Macaca mulatta: one gene and its partner. The protein of the gene in region 1 binds, or shares a complex with, the protein of each later gene. Links are inferred from orthologs where the notes say so. Each region holds a gene or a part of one and is shown on either strand. Other genes may lie near its edges.

Evidence for each region. The genes of interacting proteins can lie anywhere in the genome.
Region 2: CDHR5 (region 1) and MYO7B share a complex: the UniProt entries of both Homo sapiens proteins name them as parts of the IMAC/intermicrovillar adhesion complex. The link is inferred for Macaca mulatta from reciprocal best matches to the Homo sapiens genes CDHR5 and MYO7B.

The regions. Positions count from the first base shown.
Region 1 is NC_133419.1:517,265-521,313, forward strand, and holds the start of CDHR5 (cadherin-related family member 5), read right to left. Parts: upstream 2,801-4,049; 5' UTR 2,713-2,800; coding exon 2,628-2,712; intron 2,538-2,627; coding exon 2,362-2,537; exon of another isoform or gene 2,349-2,361; intron 2,092-2,348; coding exon 2,041-2,091; intron 1-2,040. UniProt on the Homo sapiens protein: Intermicrovillar adhesion molecule that forms, via its extracellular domain, calcium-dependent heterophilic complexes with CDHR2 on adjacent microvilli. Thereby, controls the packing of microvilli at the apical membrane of epithelial cells.
Region 2 is NC_133417.1:9,752,228-9,756,260, forward strand, and holds the start of MYO7B (unconventional myosin-VIIb), read right to left. Parts: upstream 2,801-4,033; 5' UTR 1,411-2,800; intron 1-1,410. Other genes in the region: protein IWS1 homolog, read left to right, coding at 3,145-3,178. UniProt on the Homo sapiens protein: Myosins are actin-based motor molecules with ATPase activity. Their highly divergent tails are presumed to bind to membranous compartments, which would be moved relative to actin filaments.

The DNA.
Region 1 (4,049 bases):
AAGATGGGAGAAGGAAACGTGAAGATGAACAGAAACTCAGGAGAATTATCAGCTAGGTGCATAACGTGGACCCTGATTCAAACAAACAATTGTTAAAAAAAACCCTTCAGAGACCATGGGGAATGCGGCATCCTGAACATTCGAGGTAGAAAGTGACCACTTTTCCCAGGTGTGACGACATTGTGGTTATGTTTTAAAAAGAAGAGTCCTTGCGGGCGTGGTGGTTCACGCCTGGAATCCCAGCACTTTGGGAGGCCGAGGCGGGCAGATCACCTGAGGTCAAGAGTTCGAGACCAATGTGGCCAACATGGTGAAACCCCGTCTCTACTAAAAATACAAAAATTAGCTGGGTGTGGTGGCAGGCATCTGTAATCCCAGCACTTTGGGAGGCCGAGGTGGGTGGAGGCCAAGGCAGGAGAATCGTTTGAACCTGGGAGGCAGAGGTTGTAGTGAGCGGAAATCGTGCCACTGCATTCCAGCCCGGGCGACAGAGGGTGACTCCATCTAAAAAAAAAAAAAAGGCCGGGCGCGGTGGCTCAAGCCTGTAATCCCAGCACTTTGGGAGGCCGAGTCGGGCGGATCACGAGGTCAGGAGATCGAGACCATCCTGGCGAACACGGTGAAACCCCGTCTCTACTAAAAAATACAAAAAACTAGCTGGGCGAGGCGGCGGGCACCTGTAGTCCCAGCTACTCGGGAGGCTGAGGCAGGAGAATGGCATAAACCTGGGGGGCGGAGCTTGCAGTGAGCTGAGATCCGGCCACTGCACTCCAGCCTGGGCGACAGAGCCAGACTCCGTCTCAAAAAAAAAAAAAAAAAAGAAGGATCCCGGCCAGGCACAGTGACTCATGCCTGAAATCCCAGCACTTTGGGAGGCTGGGGCGGGCAGATCACCAGGTCAGGAGTTTGAGATCAGCCTGACCAACATGGTGAAATCCTGTCTCTACCAAAAATACAAAAATTAGCCAAGCGTGGTGGTGGGCGCCTATAATCCCAGCTACTCGGGAGGCTGAGGCAGGAGAATCACTTGAACCCGGGAGGCGGAGGTTGCAGTGAGCCGAGATCTCGCCATTGCACTCCAACCTAGGTAACAGAGCGAGACTCTGTCTCAAAAAAAAGAAGCATCCCTCTCTTTCAGAGACACATGCCAAGATATATGTGGGTGATGTGCTGTGGTGTGCGGTGGGCACAGAGCCCTCTGTCTGCTGGTAGGTGGGGGGGGGGGCGGGGGCCTGTGCTGGCCTCAGGATTCTGCAATTTTCCTTAATAAAGCCGAAAAAAATGCCGCTGGTCAAGAAGTAGGATGTTGGGGGAGCGGGGCTGGGATGCAACTATTCCCTAATAGGGCGGTTGGGATTTCTCTGAAGACTGCAGACCTGAGCAGGTGGGGGAGGAGCGTGCCTGCGGGAGCTCTGAGGCTGCAGCAGAGCCTCCGCACAGTACATCTGGGTTTGACTCTCAGTGAGAAAGGAGCTGTGGAGGGCTGGGGTGGACTGGGCAGCCTTGGTTTACAGCGTCCACAGAGGCTGTTCCGCCACATGGAGTGGACTGGGACCGGCAAGGGGCAACAGGGAAGCCAGCGGGCCGGCTGAAAGTTTCCCAAAATGAGTGCTGGTGTCCCGGCCCTGGTGGGACTGGAGGTGGGCAGACGATGGATTTCTGGGTCGAGCTGGGGCAGAGCCAAGTGATTTACCAATGGGGAGCTTAGCGGGGGACGTGGGGAGGGAGGGCGAGTGGAAACCAAAGTGGTTCCAGTGGCTGGCAGGATAAAGGTGCCTCCCTTGTGGGGGCAGTGGTGGTTGAGGGAGTGGGTGGGAGTCGGGCACACTGGGTGGGGGTATCTGCTGGACAAGGGATCAGTGACGGGGATGCCACAGTTCAGGGCAGAGTCTGGACTGGAGGAAATGTGAGCATCACTCTCGGAGGGATGGCATGTGAAACCACACCCTAGGTGAGGTCATCAGAGACTGGCCCTGGACCGGCAGGGCAGAGCCCAGCTGAGGTGGCCTGGTGGGCGGGGAGAGTGGGGCAGGGACTCACCGGTGTGCCTCCGCTCTGACACAGCAGCTGAGCCTCAAGTAGTGAGTTCTCCTGTGGAGGCAGACGGGTCTGCAGTCACTGTCCCGCCCCACAGGTGGTGAGACTGAGGCCAAGGGGGCAGGCGCTGGCCCAGGGTCCCCATCATCAGTGGTCAGTGCTGAGGGTGTGGGCCCAGCCTTCTGGGGCAGGCACCACCAAGCATGGGTGTTAGTGGATGCCTGCAGGCATAGAACTCCTGGGCCCCCCGGGGAAGGTGTGGCCTGAGGATCCAGGCGCCCTTCTCCTGGGAGCCCCCACTCCCCACCCACCTGCCGCCCACACCTCGTAATCAGGAGACACGTTGAGAAACAGCTGGTTTCCCTGGATCCGAAATGCGAAGGGGGTGGACAAGGGTCCGAGGGTCACCTCCTGGCCCTCTGGGACATGGATGTCCACCAGCGGCTCGGTGACATTTGTGTTCTCCTCGACTTCAAAGAAGGACTTGTTCACAGAGCAGTCTGTAAGGTTGCAGAGGAGGGGTCAGCGCCTCCCAGCCCCTGGCTCCCCCTGCCCTGTGCCCCCACCTACCTACCCCTGCCCGCACGTACACTGGACCTGGGCCACGGTCCCCGGGGGTCGGCCAAGCAGCCCCGTGAGCAGCAGGGGAGGCCACAGCAGGGCCCAAGACCCCATCTTGGCGGCTGTCACCTGGCGGGAGGGTCCGAGTGGGTTTGGCGTCCAGGACTGGCGCAGTTCCTACCTCAGCGACCTTCGCCCCAGCCAGACGCCGCCCACTTTATGATCCTTTACAACCGGCCTCTGCCAAGGGGGCTCCCGCTGGCCGGCGGGTCCGGCCCACTGCCAGAAGGGGGGCAGTCATTTGGCCCAAGTTAGACTGAGTACAGGGATTAACCAGGGGGCTCAGGCCACAGGCACCGAGGCACAGGGCAGAAAGGACTAGAGAATGGCTCACGGGCGCCATGGGGCTGGGGCAGGGCAGGGGCAGAGCTAGGGTGTTGGAGAGAAGCCGTTGGTGTTGGGGTGTCTGAAACCTGCCTCCCTAGCCCAGGCTGCCCTTGCTTGGCTCCTCCCCTAAGCTCTACCTCAGGCAAAATTCCTAAGGCCAACCCTTGAGGCTCAGAACCTGGGTGTTCGCCCGGGAGTACCTCCCTGCCTGCCTGATGGCAGGTTCTGCAGGAAGAGACTCTCCTCACTGTGTCCTAGGGACACCCCTGCCTGCCTGCCCCAGAGACAAGCCAGCTTCTCAGGGTGGGGCTGGACAGGGCCTTAGTGACCAAGGCTAAGGCGGGGCTGTGGGGGGCAGCTGGGAGCTCCTGGGGAGCCCTGGTGCCCAACAGAGGGGGTGAGGTGAGTCTTGACACTTGCCCTGCTCTTTTCATTGGCCCCCGCAAGCCCCCAGCTCTAGGGAGAGGCCACTGGCTGGGGTCAGGGCGAGGAAGGGGCTGTCGTGAGGCGGGGAGTGGAGTCATTCCTCTCCAGGCCTGTGCACCGAAGCTTCTGGCCTCTCGTGGCTGGGGCTGGGCTCAGTGTCCCAACCCTGCACTGTACCCTCATGGTCGCCTGCAAGCCCTGCACGCTCCATACGCCACAGGCTCTGAGGGGTCAAGCCACTGGTCTGAGGCCACACAAGACAGAGGGTCCGGAGTCCTCATGCCAGAGTGGACTCCTGGCACCCCAGGTGACACCTCTGCCCTCCCCTCTTCCTGCCCGCCTGAGCCTCCCTGGCCCCTCCACACCCTCCCCACTGCCCCTTCCGGAAACACTGACCACACGCCACCCCCCACCCCCCTGCAGGAGCTGAGAGTCTGTCCGGGCTTCCCCTGAGCCCTTGACTGTTTCCTAATGAAGACAAGGGGGGGGCGGGGCCCTGCGGTGCTTAGTCGATGTACAGGAGGCGGCACTGATGCCAGAGATAAGGATGAGGGGCCCGCTGTGGCCGCCAGGTGTAAAGGGCAGCTGGGTGTGGTCACAGTCCCGGCTGGGTGGATGGGGCCCCCTTCCATCTGACA
Region 2 (4,033 bases), on another chromosome or scaffold:
ACTGCACTCCAACCTGCTGTGCTCCAGCCTGGGTGACAGAGCGCGACTCCATCTCAAAAAAAAAAAAAAAAGTTTGAATTATTTAATTTCACAATATTCTGTCCCAGGAATCATTTTATATATATATATTATATATATCATGTTTAATATTATACATGTAATATATATAATTATAACATATTATATAATTATATATGTGCGTTTAGCTTCATGACAACTCTGTGACATAAATGGTACTGTTATCCCCAACTTATAGGTGAGGACGTTGAAGCACAGAGAGGTTCAGCAACTTGCTCAAGGTCACACAGCTAGTAAGTTTCGTTTGTGTCTTCCCTGGTAGGGCTTGCTAGTGGCTCAAGCACAAGAAGCTGGGTCAGACTTAGAGACCTGGCTTCTTTGACATAGAAAAAAGCTAAGAGGACTTGAAACCTGATTCAACCCTCTCATTTGATACATGTGGAAACTGAGGCTCATAGAAGACTGGTAGCTTGTCCCGGCTCACCAAGTACAATAAGCCCAGTGATAGGGCCACAACCTAGGGCTCTAAGCCCCCAGTCTACAGCTCTGATGGTGCCAGGCTGTTGTTTATATTATTTGGTCTCTTGCTCCCAGGCTGTTGTTTATATTATTTGGTCTCTTGCTCCCTTACGTGTTCAGCAGATGGCAGTGTCTTCAGAGTGTCTCCAAATACATCTTACATTCATTTAGGGAATGCAGTGTCTCTGGGTTATCTGTTAAGGGAGGAAGCATTGTGGACTGCTGCAAGTTTGCCCCTCCATCCTTCTCTGTCCTTAGCACCCTTGGTGTGGGAAACAGCCTCTCTTCTGAGTGCCTCCCAATCACCGCCATGGGCCAACTGCACTGGGGTGGGGTGTGAGGGGTAGGGAGATGGCAGTCCTGAAAATGTAAGGCAGCCAAGACTCAGAAAGACACATCTGTGCCACTACAGAATTTCTCTACCAGCATCCAGGAGGGACAGCCAGCTGGTAGGAAGGAGCTCTGGGAACTCTCAGTAAGCTGTGTTTCCACTGATAAACACACTGCTTTAACTAAGGCTCTGTATTCATTTGAAAGAGGTGTCCTGTCTTACTAAATTGTTGACTTTCTGAGTACAAAAGTTAGATCTGATGCTTCTTTGCAGCCTTCTAGAGCTAAGAACATTGTTGTGTGTCCAGAGTGTTTCTATCCACTCTCCAAACCACCAGTACAGTTAGTTTTAACGCTAAAATTCAGTAATTATCATCTGGCAATTGCATTGTTTATAACCCAACCACTTTCCTGACTGCTGGACTTACATCTCTGGTGAAACTAAAAGGTTCTCTTCCACCGAAACTCTTCCTGGAATTTTCATCTTTTAATCCTGCTCCATTTACACAGGTGTACTCTACATTTACACAGGTATACTCTCACCTTTAGAAGAGGGCTTAGAGCCTTGATATCTTCTATCAAGTGATTTGGTGTCGGGCATTGCTCATTCTTTGTTCTTCTGATTCTCAAGACTGCCTGAGAAGCTGCCATTCCCACAGCTGAAAATAAGGAATTTGGATTCCATGCTGTTTCCACCACATCGGAAAAGAATATCCGTGAACTCTCTTGCAGGAAAATGGGAATTTCCAGAGAGAAACCACTTCTCCCCTTTCTTCTCTTCCCACGTCCTCTTCAGGAGCCTATAATTGGGCTCTGCCAGCATACTCTGACTGGCTAACGAAGGGTCAGATATCTGTAGTAGTAACAAAACGCTCTTTTTCTACATGTCTACACCTCCTGGGGAATCTTTGCTTAAACCTCTACTGGCCCTCCTCCCATCAAAAGTCAAGAATGTTCCCCTCCCTGTCCAAGACTAAAATGAACAAGTAAGGAAATAGATTTTACTCAGCCTATTTCAACAGGGAGAGCACTCCAGAGACGATCAGTGTCTTGGCAGCGCAGTTTTGCCTTTTATAGGGAGGAAGGTGGAATGACTGACAGTTGGGATTGTTTTGCAATCAGGATAAATTTCAGTCAGGTGAACAGAAAATATTCTCTAACTAGTTTGGGGTCGGGGGAGTGTTCTAATCTCAACTAATTACTCGATTATCAGCAGCAGGAATTTAAGGTCTGTCTGGCTTTATTAACAGGCTCAGAATAAAGGGGAAAGGTCTGTTTGTCCTCGTCACAGGCAAACAAGGGGGTCATCTGCACGCGTTTTATCCGAGTCACGTGGCGATGGGTGGTTCTTCACAGTGTGCCGTTCCAGACACACAAATAGACGAAGGGGTTTCTTAATCACCGCTGTTTTCTAGGAACACAGGGCTCAGGTAAAGTTCAACTTCACCTTCCTCGGTGTTTCATCAGGGGAACCCTTCTGGAAGCAAAGATGTGTACTTCTTACTGCTGGCCAAATAGCTTCTTAACAAGGATGAAAGAGAGGAAGACGCTGGGAGAGGAGGCGCCGTGGCTCGCGCCAGTTAGTAACGCATCACAGCTCGCGGTCGTCGTACTACAAGTCCCAGGGAGCAACGCTCGCTTTCTCGCCTACTGCGGGCGGGAACGAGGCGCCTCGGGGCCTGACGGGAACCACCGTGGTTTGGCTGAATGACGGAAAAGTCATTTGAGCGGGTCTTCATTTTTCGGAAGAGTATCTCAAAAGCTCTTCAAACAAGGCACGGACACAGAATCTAGAAAATGATAAAGAATAAACGATAACGTTATTTCCACGGGGGCCAGACCGGGATCCACCCGAGCAAGGTATTTAATTAAAGCCCGAGCTCCAGCTCAGTTTTCCCAGGAGTCTCCTTTCCGGCCGTGCCTTGGCGTCAGTGCTGTTGCGTCTTCTCATTGGCCGGTTGACGGGTTGCGGCGCCTGCGCGCTGCATTCCTTTGAGGGTCGTGGGCAGACGCCATTTTGGCCCCAGCGGTGCTTCTAGGAAGTAGAGCGCCGGCTCGCGTGCCTGCCTGCCTGCCAGCCTGCCAGCCTGCCTCCGCTTCCAGGTCAAAGCATTCGCCGTTGCCGCTGCCGCTTTCTTACTCTCCGCACCCGTTAAGTTCTCCGGTCGGGCGGGAGTCTCTGAACACTCAGCCGCGCCTTCCGGGGTCACACCGCCTGGAAGGAGGTGACGGGGGCGGCGCGGGGCGCGGACACTCCCCGCTGAGAGTCCGCCTGCCATGGACTCGGAATATTACAGCGGCGACCAATCAGGTGGGGCAGGGACCTGGGGGACCGGGCTGGGGGGCGGAGCAGTTACTCGGCGGGTCTCGGCCTGGCACCCCGCGGGTGGGGGCAAGGAGGCCCCCGAAACCTTCCCTCCCGCGACCCGGCCCGAGGAGGGCAAGAGCCCACTGACCGGCTGCAAGCCTCGAAGCTAGAACGTTGGAGACGGGATTCTGGTGGGAAAGCTTTCTTCTGAATCGGCGAAGGTTTTTGCTGAAATTGGGAAGTCACTTTCGTATATTAAGCTCCTATTGTGTGCAAAGTGCTAGGGAAGGAGAGGTATCTTCTGTTAAGAGTTTTCAGTAGTTGAGTAGTTGGAGAATCCAAGGGGCGATGGGGCGGGGGATCCTTCCTACACTTTTCACTCCTAAGGGAGTGGTTTAATCTTGCCTGCAACACCGGACATAAGTGCAGGACGCATGTTTCAGATGCATGCATAGAGTAAGGAATGCACTTCTGGCACTTGTGATTTTTGTGCCTTTCTTCCACCTTGAGACGGTTCCTCTTTCTCCTCACCTTCCTCACCGAAGTTTGGTCTCCTTTCTTTACTGTTTGTTTATTCTGTAAACTCTTAATGGGGCCCACTCTGCTGGCACGGTGCTCGGCACCTGAGATTAAGGATAAGTGAAGCAGAACCTGGTGTGGGAAACACGTGGGGTTTGCTTTCCCTTTGTGTGCTAGTTGTATTGGGGGTTCTGTCTCAAAAGTTCTTAAATACACCCACTATGTAGCCACAAAAATTGAAAATTAAAAAAAAATTAAAAAAAAACTTGAGTTCTCAATGGTTTAAGCGTTAAGCTCTTTACTGTTTTGAGTTCATTGCTTTTCCTTACATAGGACAGT